Drosophila melanogaster: one gene and its partner. The protein of the gene in region 1 interacts with the protein of each later gene in a pairwise test. Each region holds a gene or a part of one and is shown in the gene's direction. Other genes may lie near its edges. The genes, in order: CG6659 and Gabat.

The links.
Region 2: the proteins of CG6659 (region 1) and Gabat interact in a two-hybrid assay, tested with the Drosophila melanogaster proteins (one large-scale study listed by BioGRID).

The regions. Positions count from the first base shown.
Region 1 is NC_004354.4:18,655,460-18,659,382, reverse strand, and holds the start of CG6659 (uncharacterized protein), read left to right. Parts: upstream 1-2,096; 5' UTR 2,097-2,239; coding exon 2,240-2,285; exon of another isoform or gene 2,286-2,407; coding exon 2,408-2,669; intron 2,670-2,737; coding exon 2,738-3,059; intron 3,060-3,112; coding exon 3,113-3,923. Other genes in the region: fu (fused), read right to left, coding at 1-1,360, 1,433-1,543. UniProt on the Drosophila melanogaster protein: Probable C-mannosyltransferase that mediates C-mannosylation of tryptophan residues on target proteins.
Region 2 is NT_037436.4:19,998,582-20,002,504, reverse strand, and holds the start of Gabat (gamma-aminobutyric acid transaminase), read left to right. Parts: upstream 1-1,878; 5' UTR 1,879-1,917; intron 1,918-2,031; exon of another isoform or gene 2,032-2,062; intron 2,063-2,102; 5' UTR 2,103-2,347; coding exon 2,348-2,384; intron 2,385-2,444; coding exon 2,445-2,569; intron 2,570-2,761; coding exon 2,762-2,933; intron 2,934-3,054; coding exon 3,055-3,217; intron 3,218-3,321; coding exon 3,322-3,923. Other genes in the region: Tom20 (translocase of outer membrane 20), read right to left, coding at 346-655, 1,069-1,144, 1,209-1,338.

The DNA.
Region 1 (3,923 bases):
GCTTTTCCTCATTGGTGGAATGCATTGAGTGTTTAAGTTGTTGTGGCTGTTGCTGCGGGGGCTGAGAATTTGCGTAGGAAATTGCTTCAGCGGGAGGCTTGTTTTCCTGGTTATGCTTTTCCTGTGTAGCAATCTCCGTGGCCTTGCGTTGCGCCTCATGGTCGACGCTGTGACCCAAGCGAACAGAGAAGTTATCCAGATTCTGACTAAGCTTACGCTTCTCTAGATCCTTGCTGCGCGACTGGCGTACGGTTGGAGCGACTATTGGCTTAGCGGCCACGCCTCCGCCCCGCAAGGAAGCCTGAAAGTCGAAGTTGTCGTTCATATGATTGAGGATCATATTGGAGTTGCCACTGACGAAGCAAGTGTGCGAGTTGATCACCGGCTGGTGTACCATCGGCATTGCCCGAACACCAGACAGATCCCTGTAGGACAAGTCCGCGAAGGGAACGACCACACGTTGCATATTGTCCTCCACATCGGTCTCAAGATGCTCAACATCGCTGGGAGCAATGGCGTTTATGCTGTCGCGGGAGGTGGTCAAGTTTTCCTGTCGCGACTCGCCAAAGTCCAAAGCGGCCAGGGCCTCGTCCAGATCGCCTACCTCCGGATCGGACTGTTTTGACGACTTAACCTTGGCTTCGGGATTTGTGAAAGGCGATTCCTTGGCCGCCTCCGCCTGCGTTTCTGCGATAAAGATGCGTCCCTCAACGAAGGGGTGACACAACAGCTGCGTCCAGGATATGCGCAGACCGGGGTCCTTCTCAAGCAGGCCCTGTAGGAAGGAGCGGCACTCGCTAGTCAGCGTGCTCGGCCACTTGACGTCCTCGTGCTTGATCATCTTCACCAGATGCAGGATGGAGCTGGCACAGAAGGGCGGCTGACCGGCCATGCTTTCGTAGGCTATGCAGCCCAGTGACCACATGTCCGCATGATGGTCGTACGGCTGCTCCGCCAGCAGCTCCGGGGCCATGTAGAGGGGCGTTCCCTTGATCGAGGTGAGCACGTGGGTACCCAGGGTCATGTTGCGGGCCAGTCCAAAGTCGCAGAGTTTCGCGTGCATGTTCTTGTCGAGCAGCACGTTTTGCGGTTTGAGATCCCGGTGGAGGATGCGGTTTGAATGCAGGTAGTACAGAGCGGACACCAGATGCCCGGTCACCCGACGTGCCGGCTCCTCGCCCATGGCTCCATTGTAGGACAGGTAGCGGTGCAGGTCCATCAGCGCGAACTCAGTGACCACGAAAAGGTCCGTCTTCGACTCGAAGGACTCGATCATCTCGATGACGTGCGGATGCTTCAGCCGGGCCTGAATGTCGCACTCCCTGCGCAAATTCTTCAGCTCTTTCGTGGCTCTTCCGCGCTGCAGAACATGAATATGGTGTGAACTAGTTGTATGGACTTGTTGCTTTATCACCTGGCCCGCCCCACTCACCTTGGAGATCACTTTGATGGCCACCACCTTGCTGTCGTCCTTGCGTGTCGCCTTGTATACGCACCCGAAGGATCCTTGCCCCACCATCGAGCTTACCGCGTAGCGGTTCATGGTTATTCTTTGTTTTGCTGCGGATTGGGATGTGATTACCACTGAAGTGCGTGCGGTATGACCGTAGCAGGTTGACTCCGAGGTGGGAACTCGGCTTCGGTACGTAGGTATATGAAAATACTAGATTGCTCATACAGGGTTCCTTTTCTGATAAATGACGCTTTTGCTGGACAGCAATTGTACCTAAAAATCTATATAGACCAGATCATGATACAATCCAAGACAAATACAAGACTAGTTTGCGCTTTTATCTGTGGCAGTAGGTATTAGTATTATCTGCGAATAAACATTTATTAAGTGATAAAAGTTGGAACGAACTTTAACTTATATATTATTATATATTATAAATATTTATATGTATATATTTCTTAATGTACAAATTTTTACTTAATAAGTGCAATAAATGATATGCAATATAAATAATTAAAAATTCCAAAAGTGCAGTAGATAATATAACTAATTATAGGTATGTACCTATATATCGTAATGTACCTAAAATTCAGTGTGACCAAACCAACACAAATGACCCTTTTGACAGCAACTCGGTACGGTCACCCTAGACAAGCACGGCCGAAGAACAGCTGATTGCTGGCTGGTTTTTATTGTGCGGAGCCAGGAATAATCGTTGTGAAATAAATAATGATTGCCAATTTGAACACAGCCACCCAGTGAGACGACACCCACAATCGCAGCACGATGCGCGAGCCCAACCTGTACGTGATCCTGTCGCACGCGCTGATCGGTGAGTTTCCGCCAACCGGCAGACACTTCTGCCACGCCTCTTCCGCTTCCAGGCGGCAGTCTAATTGAGTTGGGGATTCCCACTGCCATTGACCACACTCCCAATTCCAATCCGCATCCCAGGCTGCGGCTTCTTCTTCCTATACGTGCAGCATGTGCGCGTGATCTTCGAGACGCGCACCAACATCCAGCAGCTCAATCAGCTGGAGCGGGAGGCGCTTCTGCGGCGCGAGGATGCCCTGTACTATGCCTTCTACAAGCAGCTGGCCGAAGGGCCGGACTTTTGGCACGGCTACGAGCAGCTGAAGAACGTCACGGACATCGAGTATCCGCACAGTGTCAATGTGCTGCAGCGATTCTACGTGCTGCCGGAGCTGGTCACGGCGTAAGTGACTGCCAGAGGAGTGATGCCCAAAAAGTCCACTAATGCAGATGCACTTTCGCTCCCCAAAGGTACTTCTTTCACGTAGTGCGCTCCGGCTTCAATCCAATGGTGCAACCGATGCAGTTCTATCTGGAGTTCGTGTGGCTGATGGGCGGGGTAACCCTGCTGGTACTCTACCTGTACGGAACGCTGCTCAGCGAGAACATTTTCGGTGGCATATACGGCGTAATCTCGTACCTGATGTTCCACAGCTTCGTGGCCAAGATCTATGAGCGGCCGCTGGCGCGGGAGAACTTCGCCTTTCCGTTCATTTTCCTGCAGATGTTTTATCTGTGTATCTGCATCGGAAGGATCATACACCGACAGCGGCACACATCTCGCATGTTCATGGTAATAGGTGTGCTTTATTGCATTAAGCTCAGTAACATCTTTGCCCTTCGAAGATCTTCGCCATGTCGCTTTTCACCGCCTGCGCCCTACTCTCCTGGCAGTTCTCCACCTTCATCTTCACCACCCAGATCCTGATCATGATGACGTCCTGGAACGCGAGCGCGCTGCCCACGGCTCTGGTCAACGCCTTCGTGCTGGACTACTCGCTGTCGCACCTGCTGGGCCACGCTCTCGCCTTTGTAATGTCGCACGGCAACAGCCAGCTGCTTCTCACCTGGCAGCTGAGCATCTCGCTGTTCCTATTTTTGATTACAATGGTGCGACAGTTGCGTCACGTGCGCAGCCGGCGACTGGGACACGCGCAGGATCTGCTGAACGGCGACTTATTCTCGTTGAAGTTCCTCATGCTCACACTGCTGCTCGCCAGCAGCGTGCAGACCACGCTGATAGAGCTCTTCAATCGGGCTGGCGTGGTCAGTGTGACGGAAGGCGACCAGCAGCACTTCTTCGACATATGTGCCCACTGGGCTCTGCAGGTCAATGTCGGCTTTGTCGCCCACCTTTCCGCCTGCAATCCGCAGTACGCGCGCGTCGCCTGGTCAGAATTGTGGCAGCTGGTCAAGACGATGATTGTTAAGCCGTACTGCATGTACGGCGTGGTCATGCTGGCCATGTTCTTCCGGCGCTGGCGCAAGAGCGGCGCCCCAGTAAGTGCCCTCACCGAAGAGCAGCGCGAGAGAGCGCGCAAATACGTGCTGGAAGACTTCATAGAGGAGCACTTCGTTTCCATGAGCGACATGTCTAGCAAGGAGACGGAGAAACAGCTGTATAAGTGCTTCCGCCTGCTCAAAAGCTGCGACTACG
Region 2 (3,923 bases), on another chromosome or scaffold:
ATCAAACCGGTTAGGAGATATATGTATTTATTCCCAAGATATTCAACATGTTAATAATCTTTTATTGTTGATAAACTTTCACACACTTTAACACATACCCTGTTATACATACATATTGCAAAACATTTAGGTCTGCAGAGTTGATCTTTGATATTCGCCTAACGTAAATACCACGCACAAAACAAAGCTCAATTGTTAAGTGTTAACAGTTTACGCATATTTATTTGTATGTATTGGGAACATCCAGAGAAATCAATATATAAAAAAAATATAATGTTTATATGTGAAGCCCTTAATTTCTACTGTTGAAATTTATATCTCAATTTCTGTAGCCATCTCCAAGTACTATTCGAGGTCGTCGATACTTGCGTTTCCAGATGAACACTCTATAATTTTGGCTCCGTCCAGTTGTTGCTCCGAGCTCTGCCCCAAAACGATTGGCCCGTCGTTGCCCTCGGCCGCTCGATTGCCGAACTCCTGCATCTTGACGATCAGCATCGCGAATACTTGAGCTGGAAGGGAGGATTGCAGCACCTGCAGCAGACGAGCCGGCTGGCCACACACGACGATGGCATTCGCCAAGTGCTCCACGCCACTCTCGAAATCTCCGCGGGCGATCAGGGTCTCGCCCAGCTGGATTTCTTGAAGGAAATATCTGCAAATATCATGGTTTAATTAGTTTGGAACAGCTGATTCGATGCACACTATTACGAATTAAATTAATGCCAGGCAAATTAGGTGCATATAAATAATATAAATTGTGCACAGTTGCAACAATAATAACTATTTGTATATTCAAATTATGAATTTCTTGGCAGGAAGCCTGCTGAGAATCCAAACACTGAAATGTGCTTGTTAATCCAAGGCAGTGGAGTCTTTAGATGCCTGAGGCAATAAGCAGCAACACGATGAACACGCAAGTGTAATGGGACTCCACATAAAATATGTACATCGATTTGGCTGGAGAAACATATGTGGGCTTGTTTGTTTGAATGGAGGTGTATTGAATCGCCAGGCACCACTACACGTGCCACATTATATAATGCGACTCCCATGGGAGTGTCCTACCTTTCGATGGCTTCATGGTCGTTCAGATTGGGAACTCCAGACTTGGCAGTGCCGGTTTTCTTGTTGCGACGGCGACCTAGGAAGTGATGAAATGATGAGTTTCTTTCATAATTCAGTTGGGGCGCAATGGGGATTCTTACGCTCACGGACTTTCTTCTTGTACTCGGGATCGCTGCGGCGCTTCTTGTCGAAGTAGATGCAGTATCCAATAAACAGAGTTCCAGCTACTCCCGCTGCAATGCCGATTGCAGTTTTGTTCATTTCAATCATATTACTACGGAAATCCTCTGTATTAACTTGGTCTTATTTTACATTCCGCATGTGCCATCGATTTACATAAAACAAAAATCGATATCGCCTACAACTACTGTTGTTTCATGTTTTTCACTTGTTTCGCACTAATTTGAAACGGCGGACTGGAACACTGTTTTCTTTTTTAAATTTTGCTAAGGGATATTTATTTAATTTTAAGTAAGAGATTTAAATGTATTTTTTTTTAGTTTATTCAGAAATACTGTGGGATCAAGTTATAATACGCTAAGAAATAATCGTAAGCTCACTTCTTGTATTATATTTATTTAACTTGCATTATTCGCTTAAAATCCCTATCCTCCAAAACTAATGTTTTTAATTTTCTTTTTTTATTTTTTTTACTTTTATTTTGTAATTACTTAAATAAAAAATTGTTCGCATATATGCATATCTTCCGTTGTGTGAAACAGCTGACGACTTAATTCAGTTTTTTTTTTTAATTTTAAATTTACCACTTTTTGAAGATATTTTGTTGATAACTCCAGAGTAGATTTTATTATGGCATAATGCATGTTGAGAATTTGGTCAAGGCCTATTGTTCGTTAAAATATTTGTTATAATTTTGTTTTGAAAAATAAGATATGCTTAATGTGGAAAAAGAAAATATATAGAAAATGCTAATACTATGATATATAATCTTCATTTCAATAGGAGACCATGGAGCCCCGCAGAGCAAAATATGGTTTGGTTTTTTTTTCAACTTTCGTTTACTTTCACTGCAGAATATGTAATTGACGCAGAACCATGATGATTCCAAAAGTTAAATTGATAAAATCCGAACTGGGAGAATGTGGTTGTGCTTAAGAATATGGATAGGTGTATATGCCCGCATACATAAAAGCCTCTATGTTTGTATTCTGTAAATATATACGTTTTCTTTATTAACTAAGTATTAGTGGCCAGCAACGAGCCCTCCTATTGAGCAATTCCTTCACTTAACCCCGGAGCACTCAAATCGACGGTAACCATGCGGAGCTTGTGGCTAAATACGTTGACCAAGCAGAGTAAGCTAATGAAAATCCTTAAGCTCCAGCGAATCTGGAACTGATTGGGTATCCTTGTAGGTCTATATAGGCTGAGTACCAAGAGGTACTCCACCAACGTTGAGCCCAAGGAGCCTGTAGTGAAAACCAAATCGATACCTGGCCCCAAATCGATTGAGCTTAAGAAGCAACTGGATTCTGTTCAGGTGAGTTTCTTCGGCCTTATCTGGGTTGTGAGGGTTATATTGTACTTTCGCCACAAGCACATTAATATGTATATTTATTGCACTTTTCGTTCTCAAATCAGACCATATGCCATATGCCCACTTAGAGATAGCCCCCTAGTGTCTTACTTTTCAACTATTCATTATTAATCAAAACGAATTGCATTTTTATAGGCCACCGGAACGATCCAATTCTTCGCTGACTACGAGAAGTCCATTGGAAACTACATCTACGACGTGGATGGCAACATTCTACTAGATGTCTACACCCAGATTTCCTCAGTTCCATTGGGTTACAACCATCCGAGGCTCTACAAGGTCTTTAACAATGAGCAAAACCTGAAAAGTAAGAAGTTATATCATATACTACATACATATATGTAGTTGAAGAACCCTAAGATATTGTTTTATCTTAGCCACATAACTCCCATGTTGAATAATGTGACTATATCCTTGACTATTTCCAGCATTGATTAACCGACCTGCACTTGGTGTCTTCCCTGGCAAGGAATGGCCGGAAAAACTGCACTCAGTTCTCTTGAACATAGCTCCGAAAGGACTCAATAAAATCACAACCATGATGTGTGGTTCATGCTCGAATGAAAATGCCTACAAGAGCATCTTCATATGGTGAGTACTAAAGTCTTTAGTTTTAGTCATTCTTCAGCCTTTTTAAGTATTAAAGTTAAACCCTGTTGGAATGCTGTAACGTGCTGCAAATATTTCGTTTTCAGGTACCAGAACAAACTTCGTGGTAATGCACCTCTTACCGAGCAGGAGAAGAACTCCTGCATGATTAACATTCCCCCAGGAGCCCCGAAACTCAGTATTCTCTCATTCAAGGGAGCCTTCCATGGGCGAACATTGGGAGCCCTGTCCACCACACATTCGAAGTACATCCATAAGTTGGACGTTCCATCTTTCGACTGGCCCATTGCCTCGTTTCCCGAGTATCGATATCCCCTGGACGAAAACGTGGCGCACAACAAGAAGGAGGACGAAAAGTGCCTTAGCGAAGTGCAGGATCTCATTCAGCAGTACGCCAGCAAGAATCCGGTTGCCGGAATCGTCGTTGAACCGATTCAGAGCGAAGGAGGCGACAACGAGGCATCGCCCGAGTTCTTTCGGAGCCTCCAGGCTATTTGCAAGAAGAATGGCATCGCCCTTCTGATCGATGAGGTCCAAACCGGTGGAGGTAGCACTGGAAAATTCTGGGCCCACGAGCACTTCGAGTTGGAGAGTCCTCCCGATGTGGTGACCTTCAGCAAGAAGCTGCAGTTGGGTGGCTACTTCCACAACGACGACTTCATTCCGAATGAGCCGTACAGGATCTTCA